Pelodiscus sinensis: one gene and its partners. The protein of the gene in region 1 interacts with the protein of each later gene in a biochemical or structural test. Links are inferred from orthologs where the notes say so. Each region holds a gene or a part of one and is shown in the gene's direction. Other genes may lie near its edges. The genes, in order: PLCG1, PDGFRB, ITK and FGFR1.

Region 1 (7,791 bases):
TCACCAAGTCCCCAACATTTGTACGAGGTAGAAGTGTTGCCTAGAAGTTAGAGCCAGCTGCCTCAGAAGAGCTGTTGTTGTTGCCTGGTATCCCAGCTGGGGTAGCACAGCTTTGTCATTTGTGCTGGGACCCCCACATGTGCAATGCCAGTGAGCGATCGCCTACTCCAAACCCACTCAGTTTCGGAGAACAGACTAGACAGGTGTCCTGGAGCAAATACAAAGGGGCTAATCAGCACTAGGAGACTGGATGGCTGGTCCAGATGGTGAACTGAAAACTGTGTTGACAACTACAAGCTATCATTTCAAGGAAGGGGTTTCCTGGTCCTACTTACAGGGCAGGGGGCTCTGTCAGGAAGTAAGCAGCCTGGGTTTTAGTGTGCACGCACTGTGCAGCCAGGCTGCAGAGAGCCAGCCAGAAGTAAAGTGGGGTGACCAGTGCCTCTCTGCCTGCTTTGCTTCGTGTGCGTTACGGTTCTGGAATGTAGGAACTAACGGCTGTTACGTTGCAGCCTTCCAGAAAGCAAGTTTGAGGTTTTTAATCTGCTGTCTCTGGTTTGATGTTGGGAAGGCAACTGTCCACAGAAGAGGGTAATGGCTCTGTTACTGCTGCCAACTGAGGGGATTTTGCTCTTTAACTCAAGAACTAGCAGTTCATGCTTTGGGTGAAGAAAATCCTGGGGCCGAGCCCTCCTGGGGCCAGTTCATCAAGTAGTTCACATTTACACCATTGCCTCCCCCAGGTCTGAATCCCAAATGGAACATTTTGAGACCATTGTACATTGAAGATTTGTACAAAGCACCTCTGTTTTATCCGGCTGCTTACTCCTTTTCCTCACACACCAGTGCAGGTAATTTCATGTCACATTTGACTTTGTGACTGTAAATAGAAACTCTCTCTTTTGCCAATGAACAGCATGTTTTAAAAAACAACAACCCATGCAGAATTCCTGATAGCTGCATGTGCAAAATGCATGCCTAACTGCACATGCAAATATCATGATTGCACATGGCAACTGGATAATGTTTCACATGGAGATACTCTGGAGAATGCTCCTGCCACAGTCAGGCTGACTTTTGTGCACCTGCTCTCAGTACCCCATCTGGAAGAAGGAATTCCCTGTGTGGGCTGATAGGGAAAAGATCTGCCCATAGGCCAGGGAGTAGCAGCATTGCTGCTCTGCAGCCTCAGTACTGTGGTAGCTCAAGCATGTGCTGGCGTATCTCAGCAGTTGTGGTTCATAGTCGGTTTCCGTGGAGTTGTGCTTCAGAACCACACGCAGTTAGGACTTTCTGCACCTTTGTGCCCCAGCAGAACCGCGCCAGTTGTGTTTACCCAAGGCTGTCCCTCCCTATCAAAATGGGAAGGGCAGGATTTGTATTTTTGTTATGCTAGTAAAGGTTTGGGAGAGACATTAATGACAAGCTGCGGCGTGCTGAAACAGGGCCGTACTGCATAAAGCCTGGGTTAGTGATCTGAGCACAGATCTGGGTGCCAGGAATCCTAGGAATTTCAAACCTGGCATTGGGAACCAATTCCTCTCCCATATTTGGCACATCATACTAAGCTTTGATTGTACTTGCAGTGCAATGAAGGGCAACATTTCCTAGTTATTTTAGTAGGGGCAGGCCCTTAACCTCATTGGCTTTTCCTTCCCTGTCTCTGTACAGCCGTGGGCTACATCTAGACTGGCACGATTTTCCACAAATGCTTTTAACGGAAAAGTTTTTCCATTAAAAGCGTTTGCAGAAAAGAGCGTCTAGATTGGCACGGACGCTTTTCCGCAAAAGCAGTTTTTTAGACGCGGTTTTGCGCAAGAAAGCCCGGCTTGCCATTTTCGCCATTGGGGCTTTTTTGCGCAAAACAGTTTTTAGCTGTCTACACTGGCCCTCTTGCGCAAAAACATTTCCGGAAAAGGTCTTTTGCCCAAACGGGAATGTCAAAGCATTTGCGCAAGAAGCACTGATTTCAGACAGTAGAACATCAGTGCTTTTGTGCAAAATCAAGTGGCCAGTGTAGACAGCTGGCAAATTTTTGCGCAAAAACTTGCCAGTCTAGACGCAGCCATGGTGTCCAACCAGTTCTGAAGCAGTTGTCACTACAGTGGCTACTGCTATAGCAAACTAGCCACACTCAGCTGGCCAAATAGCCACATGTGGCTAGCATGGTGGACACCACCGCTGTGAAGTATAGTAACTGGGGAATATCCTTTTAAATAGTAGAATAGTGATAGAAATGTAGCTGTGTTAGTCTGGTGTAGCTGAAACAAAATACAGGACTATGTAGCACTTTAAAGACTAACAAGATGGTTTATTAGATGATGAGCTTTCGTGGGCCAGACCCACTTCCTCAGATCAAATAGAAGAGGAAGAAAATAGTCACAGCCATATATACCAAAGGATACAATTAAAAAAATGAACACATATGAAAAGGACAAATCACATTTGGAGAGTTGTCTGGTTGCTCACCTGCATCCTACTTCAGAAGACATTCAAATCTGTACTTGAAAGAGAATCCTCTGAACTGGCATTCATGCTAAAATTCTACACTCTCCGCGGGGGGCTGAACAAAGACTCCAGCTATCTTACCCATTACAAAGATAGCTTCCCCAATTATATAATAGCTAATACTATTAACTCACAGACATCTACCCTTCCCCACCTCTATCATTAACTCACAGGCATTCACCTTCCTTTCCCCCTCCCCCGCATCCTCCTTCTGTTCTGAAATGTGATTTGTCCTTTTCATATGTGTTCATTTTTTAAATTGTATCCTTTGGTATATATGGCTGTGATTATTTTCTTCCACTATTTGATCTGAGGAAGTGGGTCTGGCCCACGAAAGCTCATCATCTAATAAACCATCTTGTTAGTCTTTAAAGTGCTACATAGTCCTGTATTTTGTTTCTTTTAAATAGTAGTGAGCCCTCTTGTGTTCTATGTTGTAGGACTCAGTCGGAGCAGCAGTATGTATATAGCTAGGCCTGGCCTCAAGTAGACAGGGTGATGTGGACTCCCACGGTGCCAATGCTGTTTATTTTCTTGTGTAAGGAGCAAAAGATAGACCAGCCTTTAAAACTGGACCACAGTAATTCTTACCAATTACTGCTTAAAAAGTGTGTGCATTATTAGCATTCCCTGTGCTGGTTATGCAAATGCTGTTAGGAATCAGCTGTTAACCAATTTAATGAGAGCAAAAAGCTGATATATCCTTAAAACCCCACCAGGACTGATGAAAACTTGCCCTGCCCTGCCCCAGTGTCACCGTGTTGTGTCTGGCTGATTTGGGGTTGAGGAGGACAAGGGAAGTCAGGGGGCTTCCAAAGAATGAAAGTGGCAAACAGCCCTTAAATACTTTCTAAAGCAACTGTTTATCCCCACACTAAGCCTCGCTTTGTTTAATTTCCTGCCACTGGCCTGAATGAGGATGTAGCACTGCACAATTGGCCTGGCACGAGCGGATGCTAACACAAACCTGGCATGAAGAGGACAGCTGCTCTCTCCTCTGCACGAAACATTATGGCATGGAGCAGACCGGCAAAGGAAGCTGTGTCCGGTTTGGGGTTAGTGGACACAGGTGGAGGGGAAAAGACAGACAGACAGGATGGGCTCTTGATTAAGGGACTTGTCTGTGCTTCAGAAGAGCTGCATTCAGTCCCTCCTCTGCCCCAGACTCTCTCTATGCTGGGGGCCAAGCCACTGAGGCTCATTGGTGTTTAGGGTCCTAACTCCCATTGATATCAATGGTGGGCTAGCCACCAATGGGAGTCAGGCACCTAAATACCTTTGAGCATCTGAGGCTTAATTTCTTTGTCTTGCTGTTCCCTGTTAGTCAAATGGAGCTGGTGTCACTTTCCTCTCACACTTTGTCTTGTTTTGGGAGCTCCTCAGGGCAGGGACTGCCCCTTACCGTGCATTTGTGCAGCCCCTGGCACAATGGGGCCCTAGCGTGAATTAGGGCCTCTACGTGCTACTATAATACCAATGATGATAACACAGACCTCCTGCCTCCCAGACCAGTGCCACTTTCAGTGCAGTTACTGGTAAGGGCACTAGATGGGAGATCAGGAATTCTTGATCTTTTCCTGGCTTGGCCACTGACCTGGTGGGTGAGTTCAGGCCTTTCCCTTCTCAGTTTGCCCATTTGCCCCTTGTCCATCGAACTCCAGGGCCCCCTGCCCTGAATCTCCTCAGAGCTGCTGTCCTGCTAGCCTAACACAAAGGTAGTCTCATGCTCATGTTCAGCCCAGAGGGATTCTTTGTTATGACCTCATCATCCTCCTAGAGCGTGGAAGAACACACCAGTGGGGAGCCGTGTGAATGTCACAATATGTGGGAGAAGCCCTGACAGGGAAGGTCTTCATGCACCAGCCCTAGAAGCTGCTGCATGTGCATGTGGCTTGCAGGGGGGGCTCTGCTGTGCTCGTCCCCAGATAGCTGGCATTAGGTATCCCTGTTTGGGGACCCAGTAATAGGTCCTGATCCAATTGTCCACTTTCTCAACTCCCTGGTCTTCCTTCAGCCCTGGCGGGTGAGGTGTGTGTGCCAGCACGATGACGTAGGAGGACACAGCCTTGTTCTGCAGCTGGAGGAGCAGAGCCAGCCTGGGAGCCAAGCCATGGGGCTGGCGTGAGCAGAGAAGGAGGCATCCCCCCTGCCAGACTGCCACTAGCCCTGAGCAGCACCTCGTTGACTGGCTGTCTATGTGACTGTGCAGAGGGAAAGGGGGCGCTTTCCCAGAGCCCATTTGGACTGGGGACCGCTTTCCTTCTCCCTTTCTCCCAGCCCTACAGGTGGGTTCCCCTCCAGCCTCTCACTTGCATGCCCCTCCCGGATGTGTGTGAGATAGCGGATCCCCAGCCAGGCCTCTCCCGCTAGAAGCGCCCCTCTGTGGAGGCGGCAGGAAGCGGAGACCCCCACCCAAGACGAGGTAACCGGCGGGGGGCGGAGGGAAAGGGCCTGGTCCCTTTAAGAAGCTGCTCGCTGGCTCCTCCGCTCTGCTTTGTTTTACACGAAGGCTGGGAGGGGGCGGGCTAAGGGAGAGAGGAGCGACCGTCGCCTCTGCGCGCTCGCCATATGGCACTGCCCTAGGGGGCACGTGAGCCCGCAGGGGCGGAAAACCCGCGGCCTGACAGCGCGCACCATTGATCCGCGCTCTGCCCCGCGGAAGCTCCATTCCCGGCTCTGCTGGCAAAGGGAGGGAGGAGGGGGCCTCCTTTTCCTAATGCACGTGCCGGGAGCAGGAGGGGCCGGAGTAATCCCCGCTGCGGCTGGCGCGGAAGAGCCCCGGAGGGTGAAAGAGGCAGGCTGCTGGCTGCTTCAGTCCTTTCTTCCCGAGCTCTCGGGAGAGCTGATCCGGCTCCGGCCGCGGCAGGGGGCGAGCCGCCAGCTGCGGGGGAAAGCGAGCTCGTGCGGGGGGGACGGACTGTAAGCGAGGGCCCCACAGCGCAAGGCAGCCCGAGGGTCCTTCCCCCGGGCGCGCTCTGCAAGCCGCGGGGCCGGGGAATGCTTCGTGCCCGCCCGCTTTCGCTTTGGAGCCCGCTCGGGAAGGAGAACAAATATGGTGCATGATTCGGAGCGGGAGAGGGGCGAGTTTCTGCGGCTCGGCGGAGTGCGAAGAGCCGGGAGCGGGGGACGGGAGCGGGTTGTGCGTTTGCCCTTCTAGCCTCCCCCCCAGTAAAACACCCTTCCCCCCGTAGGAAGGGAGAGCCCTGCCCCGCGGCGCCATGCACTGAAGCAGCGGCGGGGATTGTTTGCGCGCTGAGTCCCACCAGCGGGGAGCGTGGAGGGCGGCAGTTCCCTTTTGTTTGGAGATTTCGCCGCATTCGGGGAAGGAGGCGGCGGAGGGCGTCATGGCGTCTGCCTTTTCCAATGGTCCCGGCGTCCCGAGCGAAGCGGAGGTGGTGCACCTCTGCCGGAGCCTGGAAGTGGGCACCGTCATGACTTTGTTTTACTCCAAAAAATCCCAGCGGCCGGAGAGGAAAACTTTCCAGGTGAAGCTCGAAACGCGGCAGATCACTTGGAGCCGGGGCTCGGAGAAGGTCGAAGGGGCGAGTAAGTTGCCTGGATCCTTCTTCTCTTTAAACGGCTAACCCTGGCTGCGTCTCGTTCCTCTTTCGGAGCAGGGCTTAGGAGCCTGCGGGTGCCTGGCGCTTGGCATGGGCCGGAGGCGGGCTGCGTTCGGTGTAAGTGAGGCGCCCTGGGAACTAGATACAGCAGTGGAAGTTGTCCTAAAGAAATATCCATTTTAAAAAATGCCTGCTGTTCTCTCTCTCCTCCCCCCCCCCCCATTTACATTACTGATCTGAGAGTGGAATTGCAAGTGCATCTGTCTTGATTATCTGACAATCTGTTTTGGCCCTTCTTATTTTGCCTGTCTCCTGCCCCACCTCCTAAAATTGCAGCATAACGTAAGAGGAAAAATAGATTTCCTGTTTCCTCGGGATTTTAAAAAAAACTAAAAGTATTTTTATCCATTCTTGCTACTGTAATTTAATGTATCTAGGTTCTCATGGTCTTGAGTACCTGTGCATGCATGCGCGGGAGATGGGGGTGGGGGAGAGAAGAGAGAGAAATTACAGTGAAGTTTTTGTGTTTTACTTGCAAAAGCGAATGATCCAAAAACGGCTGAAGCCTTTGGAGAGTGATTGGATTTTTAACTCTTGCTCCACTTTTAGCAAGTTGTATTCCCTTGCCCATATATCCTACCATCTTTGATTTGTGTGTTGATTGAGTGGGAGCTGTGCTGCATGTAGATACAAACTCCTTTTATTATCCATGCCTGCTTAAGAGGACAGTAGTCTAGCCAGTTACATGGAAATTCTTGACTGTCTGCAGACCTAATTTTTATCTTAAAGCCATGAAGTAGTTGGTTGCTTTGTTTACTCTGGTATTTAAAGTTATGGACAGAGTTGGTAGGTCCAGCCCTGATTTTGATTACTGCAGTGAGGTCATACCTGAAGCAGTGGATGGCTGGAGAGATGGATTTCTGTGCCAGATACAGTTGAAAAATTAACATTGTGGGTAGTGACTCCTCTGCTGCTTTTCATTTTCCTGGAGCTTGATGATAATCTGCAAAACAAGAACGCTTATCTGCCAGATAAGCTATTAGTGCCTAATTTCTCTCACTTGCAGGTACATAAGCAGATGTTGACACAACTAACTGCGTGATGGATTGATATGTTGTAATCCTCTCATAAACTGTACTAGCTAAATTGTAAAATACTAATATGGCTAGTAGTCTGATATGCATTATTAGTAGGGACTGTCATTTGGTATCAAGTTGGTTCCCATAAAAATAGGATAGGCTGGGTCTAAAATCAGGGGTGCGTCCTTTTTGTATCTGTGTCCCTGCCATGTTTTTAGTACAAATTGAGCATCGACATTGATTTCTCAAGAAGAGCAGTTCTCTCCTGTCTCCTTCCTGAACCAGAGCTTGATCATTAATAGGATATCTGGTTTCTGCAGTCTGACACATTTCTGTCCATAAGCTAACCATCTGCTATTTGATCAGTTCGCATGGATCATAAGTAAATAGTGGTTTTAATAGTGTTTAGATACTATGGTGATGGGTGCTGTAGAAATTAGATAGCACTCTAGAAAGCTGGGTGATATTTAACTTTCATCTTGGTTAATGACTGCAGAGACTTAGGATAAGACTGAAGTCTGTGATTCTCTTGATATCTTTACTGACAGCACCTCTGTATCAGAGGGATAGCTAAGCTCTGTAAAAAATCTTTACAGAAGGCAATCCAATAAAATCTTCTGTTTTCACATGTAGCACCCGAGGCA
Region 2 (7,157 bases), on another chromosome or scaffold:
CCTCACCTCCCTCTATCTCTTTCCAGATCTCAGCTGCTCTCCTATCTTTCCTCCCTAGCCTGTACCTCTGGCTGCTGTTGCAACTGCATTATCTGGGAGACACACTGGAGTAGCACTTGTGTGCAAGATACTGCACAATCAGCAGCCCCATTGTATGGTAACAGCCTGGGGGTTCCCACACCCCGATCTCCCCTCCCCTTGGCAGCCAGAGGAGATCTCTGAATAAATAGTCTGTACTTGGGTTTTCATCAATGGAAAGCTGAAGAAACTGCTGAGATAAAGGAGAGATAAATAGCCAGCCTCTAACTGTTAAGGCTCACAAATGATTAGCCAGCTCTATTATAAACACACACCCCTAACCAGCTATTAAGTGATGACTCTCTCTTGTACACACAGCAGCTCTTAGGTGGGGGCTGCGACAGGTTTTTAGGGGAGTGATTTTTCCCCCTTTCTGCTGAAGGAACGCACTAGCAGTGTGGATATGAGTATTGCTTTTCCAGAAAAACAGCCGTTTTTCCAGAAAAACTCTGCAGTGTAGACGTACCCCTAGGCTATGTTTACACTGGCGGGTTCTTGCACAAGAACATCATGCACAAGGGTTCTTGTGCAAGAACTCTTGCACAAGAACACGTCCACACTGCCAGGTGCTTTTGCACAACAGCGCCCATGGCAGTGTGGACGCTCTTTTTCTCAAGAAAGCACTGATGACCATTTTAGCTATAGGGCTTTCTTGCACAAGAAACCCCTGCCACGCATCCACACTGCCCTCTTGAGCAAGAACTCTTGCACAACAGAGCTTACACTTGTTAGAAAAGAGCGTAGCTCTTGCACAAGAAGCCCTCTCTTCCCACGCTTTACTATAAATCTTCTTGCGCAAGAGCTAGGGGGCCCACGTGGACGCTTTGCGGAAGAATGGCCGTTCTTGCACAAGAACCCGCCAGTGTAGATATAGACCTAGTGTGGATGAAATTATACCAGCATAAAGGAACCTGAGGTCTCTTTTACTCTAACAAATTTTTCTAGCAGGCAGGCTTGGGGCTGATGGGCCTGTAATATACTCACGCTCCTGGCCAGCTTACCTGTGGCAGCAGAAGCTCTCGCATAAATTAAGTTACACCAGTAAAAAATGTCCATTTGCCAGTGTAGCCTATTCCGCTGGAGGAATTGGTATAAACTAGAGCTCTTCTGGCTCTATTAGCTGCATCTGCACTATACCAGGCTCGCTATCGCAAGCAAACTCTTTGTGTGTAGACAAGGCATGACTCAGCCTTGCACCTTTCATAGAGCTATAACTGCATCCACATTAGCGCGGTGGTTCTCAAAGTGTCCGTCTTGCAGGTAGGTCGTGGGCTTGGGGCTCCAGCCTTGTGCCAACTTTCCGCTGTGGGGGGAAAGGGGCAAGCCTCATGGACTGGATCCAACTTGTGGGTTAGGAAGCAGCTGTGTGTGTTGCTGCTCTCCCTCCCCTCCCCCTACGTTGGGGGAATGGCAATGCAGGAAACCACCCACCTGGAGGCTTTCCCCACTGCTCCCATTGGCCGGAATCATAGTCAATGGGAGCAGTAGGGGGTGGTGCTTGGGAGCAGTGGGAGGCACAGAGCCAGGTAAGGGCCCCCTATCCGTCGTATGTCAAGACCCCACACTCTCGGCCCACTCCTGCACCCAACCCCCTGCCAAGACCCCTCCATCCTCAGCCCACTCCTGCACCCAACTGCCCACCCAAATTCCTCCCTGCAACCTCAGCCTGCTCCTGCATCCTACTTCCTGGCCAGACCCTGCACTCCTACCCCTTCCTGCACCCATTTTGTCATGATGGGTGGTTGGCTGGTGGTCTCTGCTGAGCAGGGTAGGCCATGGGCCAAAAAGCTTGAGAACCACTGCACAAGAGGGTTGTAGCCAGTGCAGATTCTAGGGCTGATGTAGCAAACCTAGGGGGGCTGGGGCTAGATAGGCATGGGAAATAGGAGTGCAGGGGGTGCTGCAGCACCCCCAGGTTTTGCACCAAGCTTCCCTGCACCCGGAGGGCTGGCCCTGCTGCCCATCCATCGCTTGCTTTGCCAGTCCCTGTTCCTGGCCTCATAGGGTACGTCTAAACTACATGCCTCCGTCGACGGAGGCATGTAGTCTAGACACACCCATGGAGTCCCACCAGGCCTCCAGGATCAAGCCAGCCCCACTGACTTCGTCACAACCTACTGGCCTCATGGGTTCCACCAGCCCTCAGATCCCATTGCCAACCAGTCTTGCACCCATGGGCTCCTCAGCTGACTGGCCCTGCTAGCCCTAGAGTCCAGGTCACCAGCCCTGGATGCCCCATACCCACCCTGGGTCCTGCCACTGGTGGGGGGCTCTGCCTGGGGGCAGCCTAAGGCTAGGATTGCCAATTCTCCCAGCCACCTGCCCCATTGATGTGAATGGTGTCCGGTCAGTCTGGTCTGGGAGAGTTTGCAACTATCAGAGAGACGCAAACAGGTCCAAGGGGAGGGGGTTCACTCATCACCCCTCACCCTAAAAATTGCTCCGGTGCCACTGTGGGGCTATGAACTGCCAAGCCAGGAGATGCCAGGGCTCAACTCTGCTGAGCATGGGCACAAATTAAGCTCTGGGTGGAGGGGTCTGTTTGCACCAGCCGGGTCAAAGCTGTGAAAGCAATGTCCATAGGCAGTCATTAAAGCAGTGGTTCTCCATTTTGCGGGGGGGTGGGGGCACAGGCTTGGAGCTCCCCTCCTTCCCGCAGCGGTGAGCCTGTGCTGGCGCTCCAGCCCCACGCCGGCTTCCCACTGCAAGGGGGTCGGGGTGAGCCTTGTGGGCTGGATCCAGCTTGCGGGGTAAGTAAATGGCTCTGTGTGCTGCTGCTCCTCCTCCCGGCTGGGGGAACAGCAGCACAGGAAATGGCTCCGCTGGAGGCTTTCCCCGCTGCTCCCATTGGCCAGAATTACAGCCAATAGGGGCAGTGAAGGACGGTGCCTAGGAGCAGTGGGAGACACAGAGCCAGGTTAGCATCCCCCATCCTTCTCATGCCCAGATCCTGCACCTCCATCCCCCTCATTCCCACCCCTCCCACCCAGACCCATTCACTCTCAGCCCTCTTCTGCATCCTACTTTCTAGCCAGACTCCGCACTCCCACCCTTTCATGCACACGTTTCATCATCATGGGGGGTTGGCTGGTGGTCCATGGAAAGGTTTATGTTGAGAAGTTTGAGAACCATTGCACTAGAGAAAGGAATACTCCGTACAGATGTAGTCGCCTTATCTCACCAAAGATATCCTAGCACTGGAAAAGGTTCAGAAAAGGGCAACAAAAATGTTGAGGGGTTTGGAGCAGGTGCCATATGAAGAGAAATTAAAAAGGCTGTGACTTTTCAGCTTAAAAAAGAGGAGACTAAGGGAGCATATGATAGAGGGGTCTATACAAAAGGGAAAGTTATTTACATGTCCCCGTAACATAAGAACTAGGGGTCGCCACATGAAATGAATAGGTAGCAGGTTTTAAAACAAACAAAAGGAAGTTTTTCTTCACGCAGCTCACAGCCAGCCTGTGGAACTCGTTGGCAGAGGATGTTGTGAAGACTAGGACTTCAACAGTTCAAAAAGAGAACTAGATAGATTCATGGAGGTTAGGTCCATTAATACTTATTAGCCAGAGTGTGTAGGGAAGGTGTCCCTGCCTCTGTCAGAGGCTGGAAATGGGTGACAGGATGGATCACTTGATTCCCTGTTCTGTTCACTCCCTCTGGGGCACCTGGTGTTGGCCACAGTCTGAAGACAGGATGCTGGGCTAGATGGATTTCGGTCTGATCCAGTATGGCCGCTCTTATGAGTCCATGCCAGCATCTGTGCCCAGGCGATCAGGACAGGGGCTGGAGATGCTGTATCAGGCCTGGGAGGGCATATGTGCAGTCCCTTTAACACAGGCCTTCTTTAATGAAAACATGAGTCAGCTGCTGGCGTGGGCAGTGGATTTTCTAAACATCCCCTCATATCCTGAGAAAGGGGAAAAAATGGGAGGGGGGGGGGGTTTGAAATCAGGGCAGGGCGAAAGGCCAGAACTGAAAGCAGGGAGAGCCAGCAAGAAGCAGCCCCCCAAGGCGGCTCCTCCAGCCCAAGGAGGAAAGGCAGGGGGCTGCGCTCAGCTTTGCTGAGGCTTTGAGCCGGGAGCTGGGCTCCGAGCCCCTCTCCCGCCCCCGGTTCTCACCGAAACTCCCCCTCAGAGCCTGCTTCGGTTTGTTTGGAATCGAAAGTTTTGGAGAAAGCTCCAGCTGGAAGGAGGCGGGGAGAAGGGAAAGGCGGCTCCAGCCTTGTGCCGATTGGACACGGGCTCCCCCCTCAAGTTCCCCCCCCCCCCAATTGTATCCCCCCCGCTGCCGCGCTGGGGCTGTCTCCGCAGCGCACTTCAGGGCGCCCGCCGAGGCTCCAGGCTCCTCTGCGATGCTCGTCTAGAGGCAAAGCCAGGGCACCTCGGGACTCCGCGGCGGCTCCTGGCTGCGCGGCGCTGGGAGGAGCCGGGCCGGGCCGAGCCGGGCCGGGAACGCTGCCCAGACGGCGATAAGGAGGCGGGAGAGGCGCCGCTGGGGACTGGCGAGCGAGCGAGCCCAGCGCACGGTAAGTGGCGCGCCCCGCGAGCTCCGCTGCGCGCTGGGGGCTGGAAATCCCGGGGGGCTGGAGAGAGGGGTGGGGGAGTCACGGCCGCTCTGCTGGGGGCCGAGCTCGGGAGCCGCCGGCGTCGAGGCGGGCGGGGGAGGGCGAAGGGACCTGGCAGCGAGCGAGCGAGCGAACCCCGCCAGCAGCTGGATGCGCGCACGGGCCCCGCTGCGCTCCTAAGATGCGCGGCCAAGCGCCCGGCTGCGGGGCGCGCCCGGACGGCAGGACCGCAGCCCTGGGAGCTAAGCGAGGGGCAGGGAGCAGGGGCCCTGGCGTGCTGCTGGGCCGGCCTGGGAGAGGGGCAGAGCTGTGGGGGCTTCCCGCTGACAGGCTTGGCCTGGGGGGAGACTTAGCTCTGAGGGAGCTGGGGAAGGGGATGGGGATCCTGGGACAATCATGAGAGGCTTAGGCTATTCCCGAGCAGGGCAGGGGCTGGGCCCTGGATACCAAGGCGCTGGATGGTGCAGAAAGGTCTGGGGAGACAGTGAGCTACCAAGCCAGACAGCTGGTTCTCTCCGACAGGGCTGGTGACGCAGCAGGGGCGGCTTTTCCCCGGGCAGGTCCGTCCCCTGCCTCCGTATCCAGCCAGGTGGCTGGTCCCAGGGCGAGCCAGGGGCTCATGGTTTGTGCGAGTCAGGCCCCCCCCACCGGAGCAAAAGCTGCAGGATCGGGCCCGAAGGAAATTCTCCCCGTTCCTGCTTCTGGGCTGGTAACCACACGCCCTCCTCTGAGCTTGGTCACAGCCCTGGCTGTCCTGCCCAGGGACAGCTCACCCTGCTGGGCTCCGGGATGAGCCCTGGGCACAGGCCGCCCACACTGATCTGGGTAAAAGCAGAGGGAGCAATCCCAAGGGTTGGCGGGGATGGAGGCTGCAGGGCATCTCTCCAGGACCTGGCCATCAGAGGAGAACACAATGCTGAGAAATGCCTCTGCCGCAGGCCAAGGGGGGAGAGGGGACGCAGGAGAGGGACAGTGACCTAGGAAACCTTTCACCTCCTGGGTTTCTCTTTCGCATCTGTCCCAGCAGGATGGCTGGTTAGTGCTCTCTGGGATGTGAGCAGGGGGCTTTGCTCAGTCCTGCCTGGAGATCAGGGCTCAGGTCACACCACCCCAGGGGCCTGCTTTGCTGGATGGAGATGCTGGGGTCTGAATGGGTCCCAGACTGAAATACCGTCAATCAAAGTCACATGGGTGGGGCACGGCAGGAGAGGCAGCACCCCCAGAAGCAGTAGCCTGGGACTCCCCCACACTGGGGCAGGGATGACACCTGGACGGAGAGGGCTGCATTAGGCTTTGAAGTGTGGTCTTAGATCTTCTTCTTAAACCCTTGTCACTCCGAGGGAGCATAGGTCGTCTACAGGTCTCCTCCACTTCACTCTATCTTGAGACAACACTTCTAGCTGACTCCAGGAGTACCCCAGTTGTTGTCCTTCAATCTCAATCGATCTTCTCCATGTTGTCCGAGGTCTTCCTCTTTCGCGTTTTACTTGCAGGTTCTATGTGAGAGCTTGCCGGACTGTGCTGGATGATGGTTTTCTGAGTGTGGCCTCGCCAGCCCCACTTTCTTCTCTTGATTTGAATGTCCAGTGGTCCTTGTCTTGCTCTTTTCCAAAGCTCTTCTTTGGGACACAGTCTTGCCATCTGATGTGAAGGATGGACCGCAGGCGTCTGTCTAGGAATGTCTGTAGCTTGTGAGGTGAAGACTTTGTAGTATGCCAGGTCTTGTACCCATACAACAGCACGTTCTTCACATTTGTGTGGGCGATTCGCAGTTTCGTCTTCGCAGATATTATTTATCAACGTCCACCAAGTTCAGTCTATTCTAGCCTGGCTCCCCAGCCAAGTGCCACTCATCTCCGTAGGATCAAGGCTCGGATGGGGCCCTGCCAGAGCAAGGACATATTTTAGGCTCTGATTCAAGCTGAGCCCCACCTCAGTGGAGTCAGGCTATTGGGTGTGCCAGGGAGGGCCAGAAGGGGGCTGGGATGGTCTGAAAGTGAGATTGTGAAGGAGACAGGGCGTCCTGAAGGAGCCAGGAGTCCGTGGGCAGCATGGATGGGAAGGAAGCTGCGTTTACTGTCCAGCGTCACATCAGAGGGCTATTAATCTGGGACTTTCCAAGGGGCGTGGGGAGCAGGGCCATGTGGAATGGGCCATGGCCTAAGATGCAGCTTTTTCTCTCCTCTTCTCTCCCCCACCCCCCGCTATTTATCTGTACCCTTGACCCCTTACTCCAGCCATCTGAAGAAGTGGGTTATGCCCACGGAAGCTCATGACACCATCTACATGTTTTGTTAGTCTCTAAGGTTCTGCAGGATTTTTTGTTGGTTTTTAGATTTTTTTCAGTTACAGACTAACACAGCTCCGCCCTCTGAGGGTACGTCTACACTTGCTCCCTCGTTGGCGCTAGGGATGCAAATGTAGGCGACCAAAATTGCTAATGAAGCGGGGATTTAAATATCCCGCGCTTCATTAGCATGATCTCGCCGGCGCGTTACTCCCCTCAACAGCTGAT
Region 3 (7,878 bases), on another chromosome or scaffold:
TAGGGGGTTGGGGTGCAGGCTCTGGTCACGGGCCCAGGGCAGGGCCGGATTAAGGGGGGGCTAGCCGGGCAGCTGCCCGGGCGCCAACCTATGGGGGCGCCTGATTGAAGTGGTAAGAGATGCCGCATCAGGTGCCCCCCATAAGTTGCCGCCCAGGGCGGGGCCATGCATGCCTGGGGGCGCGGCGCCCTGTACACACCAATGAGGTGCCGCACGCCCGGGGCGCAAGAATGGCTCGGGCCCACCCTGGCCAAGGGGTTTGGAGTATGGGGGGGGGCTCCCGGCTTAGCCCAGGGTGGGGGATTGGGGCCCAGGAGGGGATCCAGGGGGCAAGCTCTGGGAAGCAGTTTGGGTGCAGGGGGACTCACGTCTGGGGCAGGAGGTTGGGGGCAGGAGGGGGTTCAGGGGCAGGGGCTGGGGGCAGGGGTTCAGGAAGCAGGCTCTGGCTGGGCACCGTTTCACTGAGACGGCTTCCACGTGGTGGAGCAGCAGGGCTAAGGCGGCTCACTCCCGCCCCGGCCCTGCACTGCTCCCCAAAGCAGCTGGCACGTGCAGCAGTGACTCCATGGAGCCATGCGCTGCCCCCATCTACAGGCACGGAGCCCACAGCTTCTACTGGCCCCGGTTCCCCATTACGGACCAACGGGAGCTGCAAGGGCGGTGTCCGCAGGCCAGGCCACCATGCGGAGACCCCCTGCTCCACATGCCAGCCCCGTCCAGGAGCAGCTGTTCCCACGGGGATAGGGACTCCAGCCAGGGCAGGTTCGGCATTTGAGAACTCGCTGCTCCAAGAATTACACCGGCGTGTGAGAGAGAAATGAAAATGATGAAATGCACCGACCAGTCAAACACCGAAACTATCCCCCTTTGCGAGCAGTAACAACCCCCCGCCTGTGTGTTGGGCCGGGAGAGGAGAGGGAAGGATGGTGTGCGTGTGTGAGAACGACAGACGCACACAGGGTGTGAGAGTGACAGATTTGCATCGTCAAGCTCCCTCCATCCCCGTCTGACTGTGTGGAGATAGGGTACAGGAGTGGAGGGAGGAGGGACATCCTGACACCAGCGCCCCCCCCTTCTCTCTCCACACCAAGCGGGAGGCTGCCGGGGGGGCAGCTCCAAGACAGAGGGCACCGTGACCGCGTGGGGAGGCGTAAGTGACGTGACAACGCTTGAAAGCCAAACCAGTCAGGATCCCCTGTCTGAGCTCCAAGATCTACCAGTAGATCCCGATCGACTGGTTGGTGACCACTGATCTAGACAGTGCTTGGTCCTGCCGGGAGAGCAGGGGACTGGACGCGAGATCCCTACCACGTCCAGGGTTCTATGACTCTTGGGGTTCATTTTGCCTCCCTTTCCTCCAGATCCAGGCCGTATCCAAATCTGGCATCTCCTCCTCCTCAGCGTCTCCATTATTTTCCCTCCCATACCCTTAGCCAAGCCCCCACTTCGGACCTTCCCTCAACCCCCTTGGGTCTGGCACTATCTCCCTCTTTGGGCCATCCAAAGCCGGCCTATTTACACCATGCAAGCTGCGGCTGCCAGCCTGCCTGCAGACATGATCTCATCGCCCCTCTCTTCCAATCGCTCACTGACGCCCCAGCTCTTATCGCACCAGAATCAAGCTTTGAAAACACGTCTGCCCTCCCCATCTACCACCCTCGTCACTTCGCCCCCCACATCCTCCCCGCTCCTCCGGTGTTATTCCCCTCAGCTGCCTGTTTATCAGCTTCTCGCCTCTTCTTCTGCCGGCCGAGGTGGGCCTTCTCTTCCAGGCCCCTGCCCCGCCCACATGGGAGTCCTTCTTGAAGATCCACTTTGGCCACTGACAACCGTGCCTCTAGCTGTCCCTCACAGTCATTTTTCAAAGGAAGCCAGATTTCTACTTCTCGCTCTTCTCTCTCTGCAGTCAGAGCATGATGCGCCTCATGGATGTTCCTCCCGGCCTGTCAGGACCGCATCTCGTATGTGGTGGGGCCTGGCCGGAAACAAATTCGAAACGAGGCCAATAAGTAATCAGAGCTAGCCGCGTTATGGCACCTCCGGGCATGGGAGGCCTGGTTCTGATCTTAGGCTGCCTGTGGAAATCAGGAGACGGTCCAGTGAGGTTACTGGAGCTAAAACACCCATGAGAACAGAACCCGGCCCAAAGCCAGTAACAGTTCCCAAGCGGTCATGTCCGCCAGTCCTAGTTCTCTACAGCCTTAGCTGAGAGTCAGCCGGTTTTTAGCTCAGGCTGTAGAACAGGGCTGGACAAGATGCGGCCTGGAGGCCAAATCCAGCCCACCTCACACTTCAATCCGGCCGTGGGCTGCATCTGGCTGCTTTCTATTTATCTCCTGCTGCCTGGGCCACCAAACGTCCAGGAGGCAGCTCAGGCAGCAGGATCCTATTTAAATGGCTCCCGGCTCCCACTTGGGGTGCTACCTCGGCAGAGGATAGAGCCACAAGCCCTTTGCTGTGTTTTTAATTCAATGCCCCCAGCCCAGATAACTCTGGGGGCTAGTCCCCAGCCCCGCCCCCTCCACCTCAGGCCCCGCCCCATCTGGGGGTGGAGCCAGCCCATGACCATGCATTAAGTGGCCCCCTTACGAACATTATTGCCACGCCTGCTGTAGAGGGTCATACTCTAAGCTCCAGAGGTCCCAGTTTCGGTTCCAGCTGTCGGCGTTACACCTAAATGACAGAAAACCTTGGGGGTACATTTCAGACTCTGCTACATATGGGTGTATGATACATTATGGGCATATACTCTGCAGGCACAAACACCAAAATAAGCAGTTTGAACCCTTGCCTTTGCATAAGCATTACAACTCTGTAACACGCAGGCAGGTATTTACACCTATAAAGCAGGGGTGCAGTTGTGTGAGATGCACCACGTTGCAAATCAAACTGAACATTTGGCCCTTGATTTCTGTCTCGGCGCCTGACATGAAATTCACCCTTTATATCAGTGCTGATTCTGCACATACATTAAATAACATTGCCTCTGGAGTTTGCAGACAGCCTAAGGGTATGTCTACACTACCGCCCCAGTTCGAACTAGGGAGGCTAATGTAGGCATTCGAAGTTGCAAATGAAGCCCTGGATTTAAATATCCTGGGCTTTATTTGCATCTTCCCATCTGGGTGCCATTTTTAAATCCCCTTAGTCCGAACTAACTGCCCGCGGCTACACACGGCAGTCAAACATTAATTCGAACTAAGGACTTAACGTTAACTCGAACTAAGGAGTTAGTTCGAGTTAACGTTTGACTGCTGCGTGTAGCCGCAGGCAGTTAGTTTGGACTAATGAGATTTAAAAATGGCGCCCAGACGGGAAGATGCAAATAAAGCCCGGGACATTTAAATCCTGGGCTTCATTTGCAACTTCGAATGCCTCCATTAGCCTCCCTAGTTCGAACTAGGAGGATAGTGTAGACATACCCTAAAAGAATAGCTCAAAGAGAGGTATGAACTTTCCCCATTCATCACAATTTGGTATTAACTCTGGAACCTAATGGTGCCATTTTAAAAGTGAGCATTGCTCAAATGATCTACAGGCAAATAATGGCCAAGAGCAACCAGCACAGTGCTTATCCCACAGCCCTAATTCAGAGTTAAATTCAGAGGCAGAGTAAAATTAATTGCAATTAATGTCAAATAAAACAGTGGATGTTGTACTGATTGTATTAGTCACTTCCACATTAATGTAACAAAACCTTTCACTTTTTCTTTAAATTCACCTCAAACTGCCACCGATTTTCCAGTCCAGCCACAGTGCAGTGCTACAGAAATGAACAGCTCTTGATATAGCATTTAGGTGTACCTTTGCCACAGATTACATGGACTTTGATACACCTAGAGCATGTATATTCTGCCTACACTTTCTTGGAACATTCACCCACAGACTGCCTTCCACCCGGCCACATCTGGAACATTCAGCAATTAGTAAGCAGTTATGTCATTGCGACGCCCCCTGCCTCAGTTTCCCCAAAGCGCTTTGCCATCTACTGACAAAACGCACTACAAAAGAGCTCCGTGTTATTAGTATGAATAATCATTAATGACAATATTGAAAAGATATAAATAAACTTCATTGGTATGGCATCTCATAACACATATAATGAATGTAACTTCATTTATACACCAGCTTTTAATTGCTCGGATCTGCAATTTGTCAATGCCTACACGTCAGAGTCTTTGTAGTTACATGCTACGTGTCTTTGAAATATAGGTTGGACTTCCTTGGTCCGGCACCCTCAGGTTCCGAACCAGGGAGTTTTCCGGACTAGGGAGGTCAAGGCTCCCTTCCCAGCCATCAGACCCTCTGGAATGCTAGCCCCGATCACTGGGCTCTGCTCCCAGCCTCGGATGGGGCTGCGTTCCCTGCCGGGCTGGCCTGGGTTGTACTCCTGGCTCATGGCCTAGTGAAGGCTCTCGGGCACTGGACCAGAGAGTGCCGGATTTCAGAGGTTCAACCTGTACGTCAAACAAATGACACTAAGTACAGTGCATGAGGTGAGAGATAGGCTGGAGGTAACACAGACCATACCACCCGTCTGTACAAGGAACGTGGATGTATGAAATCCTCCCCAAAGCACGAAAAAGATGCTGTTTCGTTATATCCGAGTCCACCCTGAGCAGACATCCCTATATTTGCTAAGAGCGGGTTGAGTGGGCCATTATGTAATCATGCCACAACTTTTAATTAATCCCCGAGCCTTTACAGAAAAATCACATTTGTCAAGAGCGCCCATCACATTTTCATTTTTTCCACAACATTCGCCGTAGAGTATTTTTCAGCATGTGCTGTTCACTTGATGACTTGGGAGAGGATGTGGTTACGGTTTTGACAGAAAGGAAGCGCTACAGTGCTGCCTAGATGACAGACGGAAAGATAAGGCTTTGTGCACCTACGCTGCCTTTCAAACACCTTTTTTTTGTTGAAAAAATCAACTGCCCTCTTTCTTGTTTCTCTTTTCTGGACTTGTGCTTGGAGTGCGGGTCTGGGACCGGCGTGCGGGGTCCGGGAGGAGCGCCGTGCCCTGCCGAACCATGAATAATTGTGTTCTCCTGGAAGAGCAGCTGATCAAAAAATCCCAGCAGAAGAGACGGACCTCTCCCTCCAACTTCAAAGTGCGCTTCTTCGTTTTAACCAAATCCAAGCTGGCTTATTTTGAGCATCGCCATGGGGTACGTGAGCCATTTTCTCTCTCGTTTTTTTGCAGGCTCGTGAGTCGAGAGTATTGAACGGGAGGGGGGAACAGTGTATGCTGTGAAATCCCATGCGCCCAACATCTACTTAAACTAGCTACTGGTGGAGGGCCCTCCATGGCATTCTGTGCCCACCCAAAACTTCCCCATAGGTCAGTGGCGGTTTGGCGTGTCGAAGGAATGGAGGATCAAACCTGGTTTGAGCAAAGAAACGTAGCGCGGTCTGAATACCTGCCTCCCTCCAAGATGCCTAACTGACTGTGTACTAGGCAATTCAAATGGATAGTGCTGTAGCTCGGGGCATGTTTTGATCAAAGTTATAAAGTTGGGTAACAGGGATTCTCGCCATACGTTTTAATTGCATATAGAAAATCAGACCAAACAAATTGGAACTGGGCAGACACTCAGCTCCAGTAGAAGGATGGTTCTCTGCATGACGGACTCCATGTTTGTTAATCAAAACTCTCGAGGTCAGGTTCTAACGGGGTCAGTTGTTTCGGGGAGTAGGCTGTAGGAGGGGGTCTGATATTCAGATGCACTCAGACTAAGCACATCTCAGATGCCTAGCCCTGAAACTATGAAAAGAATTAGAAGCTAATGTGTGTTAGCAACCTTTTATGGGTGCTTTTATCAAAGCAAAACTCCCATCGTGTCTCCTTTTGTGCATATGGAAGCACACAACTGGCTGGAGCCACCCGTTGTAACCTTACTCAGTTTGTTTGCCAGGGTCTACAAACAGGGACATCAATACACGACTTTAAGGGTGTATTGCTGCTTGTAAGTGTTGTTTCTCTCCAGTTGCACTGCCATGTTTCTTTTGAATTTGTAAGAATCCATTCAGGCACCATAAAATGCATGTGGTTTATTTTAAATACTATATTTAAATTTTTTAAAATATATTATTGCAATCCAAGATGTATATTTTCAGTTTGACTGAGAGTGTCTATTCTGTGGTCCAAATGTCGTCATTTGAAGAGTTAAGATGTTAATACAACTACGTAGCCTAGTAAGAATGGGAACAATTTTCACAAGTGCCTAATTGATTTAGGAACCTAAGTCTCTCTGGGTCTGATTTTCAAAGACATTTAGTTGCCAAAAGTTGCAGATAGGTGTTCTTCAAAATCCCTCTATGTGCTTTACTTTGGTGCCTAGCTCCCTTTAACAGGCACATAACCTGGCTTGGCACTTTTGAAAACCCCATTCGGCATTTATCTGCATTTGGAGACACCTAAATACCTTTGAACATCAAACCCACGGACTTTGAACAGGACAGCAGCGTGAAAGTCACTTCAGTGCTCTAGAAAATTATACCCCCTTGTGCCCTAAATCCTAATGAGGCAAAAATGGGACGACGTATAGGGCCGTAACAAGCTACATATCTAAGCAAACTTGTCAAAATATGTCCTTGTACCATTTACAAACATCGGAGTGTGCCAAGATAATTGCAGCGTATTTGGCATGCACAGCGGACGTGCTTCTTTTACCTCAAATGTAAATGTGCCGAACCAGAGCAACGGCGGAGTAACTTGTCATAGCTTCATTTAAGTCAATAACACTGTCCCCTGAAGTAAGTGAGTTAGACTAGCTGAGGAGTTAGAACCCTAGAACTGGAAGGGACCTTGAGAGGTCATCAAGTCCAGTCCCCTGCCCTCACAACAGGACCAAGCACCATCTAGCTCATCCCTGGCAGGTGTCTGTCTAACCTGCTCTTAACTATCTCCAGCGATGGAGATTCCACAACCTCCCTAGGCAATTTATTCCAGTGTTTAACCACCCCGACAGTTAGGAACTTTTTCGCTATGTCCAACCTCAACCTCCCTTGTTGCAGTTTAAGCCCATTGCTTCTTGTCCTATCAGCAGAGGCCAAGGGAAACAATTTTTCTCTCTCCTCCTTGTAACACCATTTTAGGTACTTGAAAATTGCTATCATGTCCCCTCTCGGTCTTCTCTTTTCTCTAAACAAACCCAATTCTTTCAGTCCTCCCTCATAGCTCATAGATCTTTCATAATTTTTGTTGCTCTTCTCTGGATCCTCTCAAATTTCTCCATCTTTCCTGAAATGTGGTGTAAAGAACTGGACACAGTTGGCCATTGTCTATCACTAGGTTTGTCTCCTGGAGGCAGGTATATACAACATGCACACAGCTATACCAGTAACTGTAGGACCTGATACTCCACTGTGTAGCATTGGGTTTGTGCCAGTGTAAATCGTCTTAGCAGGTCCATTATATTAATAAACCTCCCTGGTGCAAAATGAAGATAGGAGTGCAGATAAGGACCAGTTAGCCCTGAAGTATGAACTCTTTTGCTTATCTATGACAGTCAGAGCAGGTAATTCTGTGCAGGCTTCGGCATTGCCTCATTGGTCTCCAATCTGGTGGGACAAGCTCTAGGGCTGAGAAGGTGGCTCATGCTACCCACCCTTTTGGTCTTCGCTTGTCTCCTGAGTCTTCCAAGGGCCGGGCCGACACCACCACTACTTTTCACCGGCGGTAGGAAAATGTGGCTTTAGCACCCTGGCTTGACATGATGGTTTCCCAGTCTTCTGAACTCAATGTGAGGGTCTCTTTGGATGTCCATTGTAACCCTCTGGTGGTGCATATGAGCAGAGATTTAACATCTCTACAAACCTGGCCCAAAGATCGACTGTGTTAGTTCATTCCTTTCTCTGGCCTTACCATGCACC
Region 4 (6,858 bases), on another chromosome or scaffold:
CCTTGTTAATCCAGGCAGGCAGAAACCCCTCTGGAGGAACAATAGCCGGGAGGTGCGAGCCCTCCCCCACTGCCTCCCCTGGCAGGGAGGGGACAAGGCTGAGAGCAAAGCAGGCAGAGCCATGTCCGGGCGTGAGGACGGGACAAAGGACCTGGGACTGGGCAGGCCACTGGGGCTGCTGCTGCAAGAAGAGTCAAATGCAAGTCAGAGCATCCGACCGGGGGAGGGGGCCTGCGCTCCTGCCTGCCTCTCTCCAGAGCAGGCCCCGGGGTGGGCAGGCCCCGGAGACCAAGAGGAGTTTTCCCGGCACTCCAGCTCCGCCATGGCCCTTGTCAGCAGCCCCGGGAGAGCTCTTGAACCTGGCTCCTGCCAGAAGGGACAGAGGCTGGGGGAGGGCTGGCAGGAAAACACCCAGGCATGGCCTGCGGCAGCTGACTCGGTGGGCTCAAATTGCAAGGGGGCTGTTTGGCTGTTCTGCAGTCCAGTGCGGGGGAGGGTCCCAGAACCTGAGATTCCATGCCTGGGCTTCCTTCCCGCAGTGTGGACGCACCGAACTGAGCTCTGGCGCTCTCGTCCCTTGGGATCCTGGTAGCAGAGCCAAGCTCCGGGCACTCTCCTCCCTTGGCTGTAAAGAGCCCGTCTGCCGCCAAACGGAAACAGACAAAATCAGGGTAGAAAAAATGCAGCTTTGAAAGCAAAACAAACAACAAACGGCTCCTGCCCACCGGTGTTTTGACCCAGCTCAGCGCCTGGGTGTGTGGCCCTGAGACCAGCGAGGAACCCTGAGCAGAGAGGTAGCGGGGTGCTCTGGGAAAGGCGGCAAGCCGGCGAGGCCGAACCACAGCTCCAGGGAGATCGGAGATCGGTATGTCACAGCTCCCCACCATAACCTAGTCATGGAGCCACCGAATGTAACGCCTGGAGATCACGGTGACCATCCAATCTGTTCTCCTGCAGAACATGGAGCAGAGAACTTTGCACCTTGATTCCTGCCTCCAGCCCATATCTGATGACTGAGCTAGCGAGAGCTGCACAACCCCATGCCCTGAACGGACGTGATCCGTAGCAACACCCCGCAGGGATAGGAGAGTCCTAGAGGAAAGGTCGCTTCCCTCGCATCCACCAATATCTATCGATCACCCTGGCAAAACCCACTGGCATCCCAACCGGAGCCACTGCCTGTGCTGGTAAGGGGCTGCTCTCGTTGTAAAGACGGATGCCTGGCATTTGGTTCAGATATCGCCGTGGTGACTGATGGATCTAATTCAGCCTGTCTTGTTTCACTTCATAACTTAATCATTTACACATTGTCTTCCACAGTGAGCCAGGAGATGTCTTCATTCCGGGCCGGACCTCTCTGGAGACTCACCCAGACTCCCTCCCTCGCTAGGCCCCTTAAATCAAACCTGCATTCGCCTGGGAGCACCCCGCCAGAAGCTGCTTGCTACTGGACCTAGGAATTTTGAAGCCAAGTAGGGTTTGGGGCAGATTAATTTGCATGACAATAGACGGAGCATTCCACTCCCCCTGCAGCTACCTCCTGGCCGAGCTGGTGTCAGAGGCCTCCAGAAATCCCCAAGTTGGATTGCTGCCTTTGCCTGCAGAGATGTTCCCAAAGGGTTCCCAGCTTAGAACTTGCACCCTGTTTCTCGGCTGGCCCTCGCAGCAGGGTTCACCTGAGACAGATGGGGGAAGTGAAGTCAGCTGTCTGCTGGTTTTGGATTGCTCTGTGGTTTGTGGTCCAGATGCTTTGGGTCTGACAAATCCTGTCAAAGCCCATCAGAGCGGGAAGATATGGGTTGGATTTTCAGAGGGCACTGTGGGTGCTCATCACGTCCACAAGCCAGGCCACGTATGCACTAGGGGACTACATTTGCCTATCTATGCAGTAACTAAGAAAAACATTTGCCTATAGCTTTTGATGGATACAAATATGCCAAGAGGACAAACCTCGAATAGATTGTTCAAGCCAACAGAACCCCCAGATAATAGCAGTGAGTTTGGCATGTTTTTGTCTATCAAGAGCAAAAGGCAAAAAAAATCTGACGGGAAGCCATCAGGCAGCTCTTGCACATGAAAGCAAACTCTGAAACTTGAGGATTTCGGGCCTGATCCTGTGGTCAGATCCATGCAGTGCCCTCACCGCATAAGGGTCTGATCACTCCTGGTCTTTCTTAGGCGGCACATAATCAAACCAAGATGTTTGTGAGCTGGAAGTATCAAACGTAGGAAAGAGGAACTCAGCTAGTCCATGACAGGGTCGGGATATTAATTCAGAGGGACTTTCTACTGGAAAACAAAGTAGCCACAATAAAATCCGATTTTCCCTGAGCCTGTGCCTCGGATTTCTCTCTCCTTTTGTTACTGTTTGTTATTTCACTCCGGAAAGCTTCAGGCAGTTTGCACGAATTAACAACCAGAGGGGTAGGGAGCGTGTGTGTTGGAGGGTATCCGTCAGTATCATCCGTCAGGGCTCAAAAATCATGCGTCAAGGCCTAAATAATCATGAACTGGCTTGGAAATCCAGAGACTGCAAAAGGAAAATCCGTTTGGCCTTCTCTGAGCCTTTTTCAAACTTTATCCTCCAACCACAAGGGCTAGAAAACTTACCTAAAATAGACAGAAAGAAAGAAATCTGAGATTGATCTCTTGAGCATAGCAGCTGGGCTTTAACAATCACACAAGTATCAGGAGATTATCATGCGGCAAGAGTTGGCAACACTGTGCTCTTCCGACACGCTGCATGGCTGTTGCTGGGTTCGTTTATTTGTTGCACGTCCGTGACTGTGTGTCTGGCAGCCCACGCTGGCCGAGCCCTGGCTGCCTCCCTCCAGTCCATTGCAAGATGGGGCCTTAGACTGTGAACTCGGCGGGGCAAACACTGGCCTTAATTCCTATCGGACTACAGGTTCCGTCTCTCAAGTCTGGGACTCTCCGGTTCAGCCACATCCGTAGTCCCGCAGGACTCAGATATTGCTGCACCAGAGAGCTCCAGCCCTCCCTGGGGGTCCCCAGCAGGGCCAGCAACTGGGGATTCCCAGCTCAGATCCCCACAGCAAGGGATTTCCACCAGTGGCATCTGGAGATCCCCCTGCCAGCAGCCGGGAGGGGCAGCAGGCTGGGAGGCCAGCAGCGGGAGGGAACCAACCCTGGTCCAAGGAAATCCCCGTCAGACCCGGGCCGGACCAGGGAGGTCCAACCTGTCTAACCTAATCAAACGGGCCCGGATCCTGGGGACTCTGAGAGCGGCCATAACCCTCACAAATCACCAGGGTCAGAACCCCCCCCCTCGGTGGTGGGTTTGTTTTGTGGGCAAATACATTGCAAACCGGGGGGGCCAAGGCAAAGCTCTGCGGGCGGGGGGGGGGAGACTTTCCCGCTTGGAGCCCCGCAGCCCCAAGCTCCATGCAGCTGCATTTCGGAGCGCGCCCATCCCGCCAGCGCTCGGAGCAGCCTCCCAGCTCCGCTCTGTGCCGAGAAGCCGGGGCCGGGCGCGGCGAGAGAGTCCTTCCCCCACGGGACGGGCAGGTCGCTGGCGGGCAGCGGAGGAGGAGGAGCCGGGGAGAAGGCAGGCGGCGGCGGGGGGCGGAGGAGGGGCTGGGCGGGCAGGAGGGAGGGACGCAGCCCTGCTCCGCAGCGCGCACTGGGGACCGGGCAGCAGCCAAGCGCACGGAGCCGACCCGCAGCGCGCCCCGCAGCCACCGCAGCGCGCCCGGGCCCCTGGGCTCCCAGCTCCCGGGGGGTCGGGGCCCCTCGTGTCTCCCCCGGGGCCCGAGCCCCTGCCCGGATCTCCCGCGCTCGGGGCCCCGCGGCGCGATGGAGCCGGGGCGGTGAGCCGGGGCAGCTCGGCAGGGCTGCGCGCCTGGGCCCCGGCTCGGCGCCTTTTGTTCCCAGCCGCCGGGGATCGCGGCTTCGCGGCAGCTCCGGGGGCCCCGAGCGGGACCGGCCCCGCCTGGGGCGGCGGCTCCGCCACTGGACCCCGCCGAAGCGGTGAGTACCCGGGGCGGGGGGCGCCCCACGAGGCCTCCCACCCGCCCCCTGGCCCGGGAGGCGCCATCGCGGCTGCGAGAAAACTTTCCCCAAACTTTGGGGGGGGGCGCCTCCGGGGGGCGGGGCAGCGGAGTGAGCCTGGAGGGGGGGCGTGAAATGCTGCGGGGAGCACCCTGGGCAGCCGGAGCCCGGCCCGCCCCCTCACCGCGGGAGGTTCAGTGTCCGGGGGGCGGGGGAGGCTGGAATGCGACCCCTGGCTCCCGCCCCCGCCTGCCTGGGCCCCGGGAAAGCAGCCGCAGCTTCCCCGGCCGAGGCTGGGGCCAGGTGCCCGGGGCGTCCGGCGCGGGGCTGGGCAGAGCTCGCAGCGCCCCTGGCGCGGGGCCCGATGCGGGGAACAGTCGCGTCCCACCGCCGCCTGCGGGATCGGGCCCCGCGCCGGTGTGTCCGGCCCCCTCCTCCAGCCCCGCCGTGCCGCGCAGGGCGCCCCAGCCCGGCCGAGGGCGGATGTGAGCTGGCAGGACCCCCCGTGCGATGCCTGGTCTGGCCCGGCCGCCAGCGCTTAGCCCTCCCCACGGGGAGCCGCCCGCTGCAGTCAGGCCTGGGGAGGGGGCCCTAAGGCCACGGGGGTCAGGCCAAAGGCCCGGGTCCTGGAGCCTGCCTGCCCTGCCCTGCCCGAGCCGGCTCCCCGGAGGGCGTGGGCAGGACTGGGCATTTCCCACCCTTTTCAGTTCTCCCTTGGCACTGGAGGCGCAGCAGGGGGGTTTCCGCCAGGCCCTGGGGGAAGGTGGCTTGGGAGTCCCGGCTGTGGGGCTGGGCAGGAGCCCTGAGGTGCAGGCGGCTGGCTGGTTTCGGGGGGGGGGGCTCCTTGACCTTGTGTGAACTTTCTGCCTAGTTGGCACCTGGTGACTGTTGATCGTATTGATTATTGCGCCGGGCTGGGCGGGCCTGGCTGATTCAGGGAGCCTAGGGCCAGGGGCTAGGACATTCCTGGCTGACTAGCACACTCCCGGGATAGCGTGGGCAGAGTCGGAGCCTTGCCACCAGTTCCCCTCGGCCTGGCTTGGATGGGCTGCTCCCCCGAGGACGCTGCCTCACCGTCGGGCGTTGCTTTTCCCCTTCTCCCATGGAAACGCTGGGATGTGAGCAGTGCGGAGGGGCCGTGTCAGGGTTCGTCTCGCTGCGATTTGCTGTTTCCTCTCGGAAGCCCAACACCGGAGACCCTACGAGCGCTGCCTTAACCCATAAAACGAGGCCTGCGCGTTCACAGCCGCGGGCTTCCTGAGCCAAAAACGCTTCTTAAGGTACAAAGTTTAGCGGGGGAGGGAAATCTCTTCTGCGCTGGAAACATTCCTCGGGTTTCCAGCCTGTTGATTTTGTCTCTGTAATGGAATAGCGCTTTCTCGAGACGCACTCGGCGTTTCCTTGCGCTCTCCCTCGGGAGATGCACTCTGCAGAGCTGAAGGTCCGAGGAATGGGGGGTTCCTAATACCTGGCTCATCTGAGACGAGCTAGCCGAAAGCTCCCCCTCCTCGCTTTCCTCTTCTAGATTTGGGGCTGATAGAAAAGCATCCCCATAACATGGCCGTGTGGTTTCCCGGCTGCAGGGGGTAGCAGAGTTAGTCTGTTACAGAAAAAAACAACAAATGGTCTGGTAGCGCTTTCTAGACTAACAAAACATGGAGCTGGGATCATGAGCTTTCGTGGGCACCGCCCACTTCTTCAGATGCCTGGAGTTACGGTTTCCCAGTTCCTGCTAATGGTTTGGAATCCCAGATGGGTCCTGATTTGTGCAGTCATGCAGTGTGCTGGGATGCAGGTGCCTGCCTGGGTTTCTCATGCCGACTAATATCTTATTTACATATTTCTCCCTGCTGCAGCGGAAGTTTTTTGGAGCCTGTATTGGTCGTATGGGGAGGCTCCAGCTGGAGGGTCTCGTTAAGGGGATCCTTCTGTAAATACTGTCCCATATGTTAGGGGGTTTGTTAGCAAGTCTAAAACATGTCAGTGGTGCTCTGTCCTCCCTCCTGCAACACCACTGAGCTCCAGGAAGCAAAATCTGGCCCTCTCTTTAGCCTTGGCCGAGAGTGAGAAACGGCTAGCAGTAAACTCCTCGTTCAGGCTGCCTGCAGCTGCACTTGGGGGCTGAGCTTGTGGGGACTTGCTTTCCTGAGGCCTGGCCTTATTTAATGGGCCGTAAGTGCCCAAGGGTGGACAACCAAGCACAGTGAGTCTCTTGAAAGAAAGCTGCAAGGAATTCCTGGAGGTTCCCTTGATAGTGCTGCTGCGAGGCTGTCTGCTCCAAATGGGCGGTGTTTCATTTTAAAATGTGCTGCTAAAAATGTACCAAATGAAGTCTACCTGCTGGAGCTAGCTGCGGCAGCCTGGCTTGCAACGGTTTCTGTACGCACAGGCGCTCTGCTCCGCTCAGCACCGCCACGCTACAAGGGATTCCAGCCCCTCCAGGAGTTTGTGTCCACAAGAGTGTGGGGTGTGTGTACAAAGAGCCCTGGTGGAGAGACGCAGGTGCAAATTGAGGGGTGAGCCCCATGCACCCGAGTGGCCGTGTGGGTGTAAAAGTGCCTGGTGGAGATGGGCCCTTCCTGCAGAGAACTGGCCCCAGGCGAAAGGGCTGTGCATGCCTTTGCTGTGACAAACGGCTTGGCATTTTTGAAATGCACCTTGTTAGACGCTGGAACGTTTCTGGAGCTGAGTGAATAATTGTGGAAAAAGCCAAGGAGCGAATGCTGCCAAGGAGCGCCGTTCCTGATAGGGGATGGTTTTCTGCCAGCCCGGCACACATGGGACTATCTGCTTTGGGGGGTTTCTAAGTAAGTTTCTAGCCTTAATGGTTACCTGGACTGTCTTGTA

Evidence for each region.
Region 2: the proteins of PLCG1 (region 1) and PDGFRB form a complex in vitro, tested with the Homo sapiens proteins (3 studies listed by BioGRID and IntAct, with this or other methods). The link is inferred for Pelodiscus sinensis from reciprocal best matches to the Homo sapiens genes PLCG1 and PDGFRB.
Region 3: the proteins of PLCG1 (region 1) and ITK form a complex in vitro, tested with the Homo sapiens proteins (2 studies listed by BioGRID, with this or other methods). The link is inferred for Pelodiscus sinensis from reciprocal best matches to the Homo sapiens genes PLCG1 and ITK.
Region 4: the proteins of PLCG1 (region 1) and FGFR1 form a complex in vitro, tested with the Homo sapiens proteins (4 studies listed by BioGRID and IntAct, with this or other methods). The link is inferred for Pelodiscus sinensis from reciprocal best matches to the Homo sapiens genes PLCG1 and FGFR1.

Annotation. Positions count from the first base shown.
Region 1 is NC_134728.1:25,001,153-25,008,943, reverse strand, and holds the start of PLCG1 (1-phosphatidylinositol 4,5-bisphosphate phosphodiesterase gamma-1), read left to right. Parts: upstream 1-4,775; 5' UTR 4,776-4,793; intron 4,794-5,027; exon of another isoform or gene 5,028-5,302; intron 5,303-5,308; exon of another isoform or gene 5,309-5,699; 5' UTR 5,700-5,852; coding exon 5,853-6,054; intron 6,055-7,791. UniProt on the Homo sapiens protein: Mediates the production of the second messenger molecules diacylglycerol (DAG) and inositol 1,4,5-trisphosphate (IP3). Plays an important role in the regulation of intracellular signaling cascades.
Region 2 is NC_134727.1:35,019,611-35,026,767, reverse strand, and holds the start of PDGFRB (platelet-derived growth factor receptor beta), read left to right. Parts: upstream 1-4,146; 5' UTR 4,147-4,603; intron 4,604-7,157. UniProt on the Homo sapiens protein: Tyrosine-protein kinase that acts as a cell-surface receptor for homodimeric PDGFB and PDGFD and for heterodimers formed by PDGFA and PDGFB, and plays an essential role in the regulation of embryonic development, cell proliferation, survival, differentiation, chemotaxis and migration.
Region 3 is NC_134727.1:39,217,946-39,225,823, forward strand, and holds the start of ITK (tyrosine-protein kinase ITK/TSK), read left to right. Parts: upstream 1-4,869; 5' UTR 4,870-5,033; coding exon 5,034-5,171; intron 5,172-7,878. UniProt on the Homo sapiens protein: Tyrosine kinase that plays an essential role in regulation of the adaptive immune response. Regulates the development, function and differentiation of conventional T-cells and nonconventional NKT-cells.
Region 4 is NC_134738.1:15,608,408-15,615,265, reverse strand, and holds the start of FGFR1 (fibroblast growth factor receptor 1), read left to right. Parts: upstream 1-3,857; 5' UTR 3,858-3,990; intron 3,991-6,858. UniProt on the Homo sapiens protein: Tyrosine-protein kinase that acts as a cell-surface receptor for fibroblast growth factors and plays an essential role in the regulation of embryonic development, cell proliferation, differentiation and migration.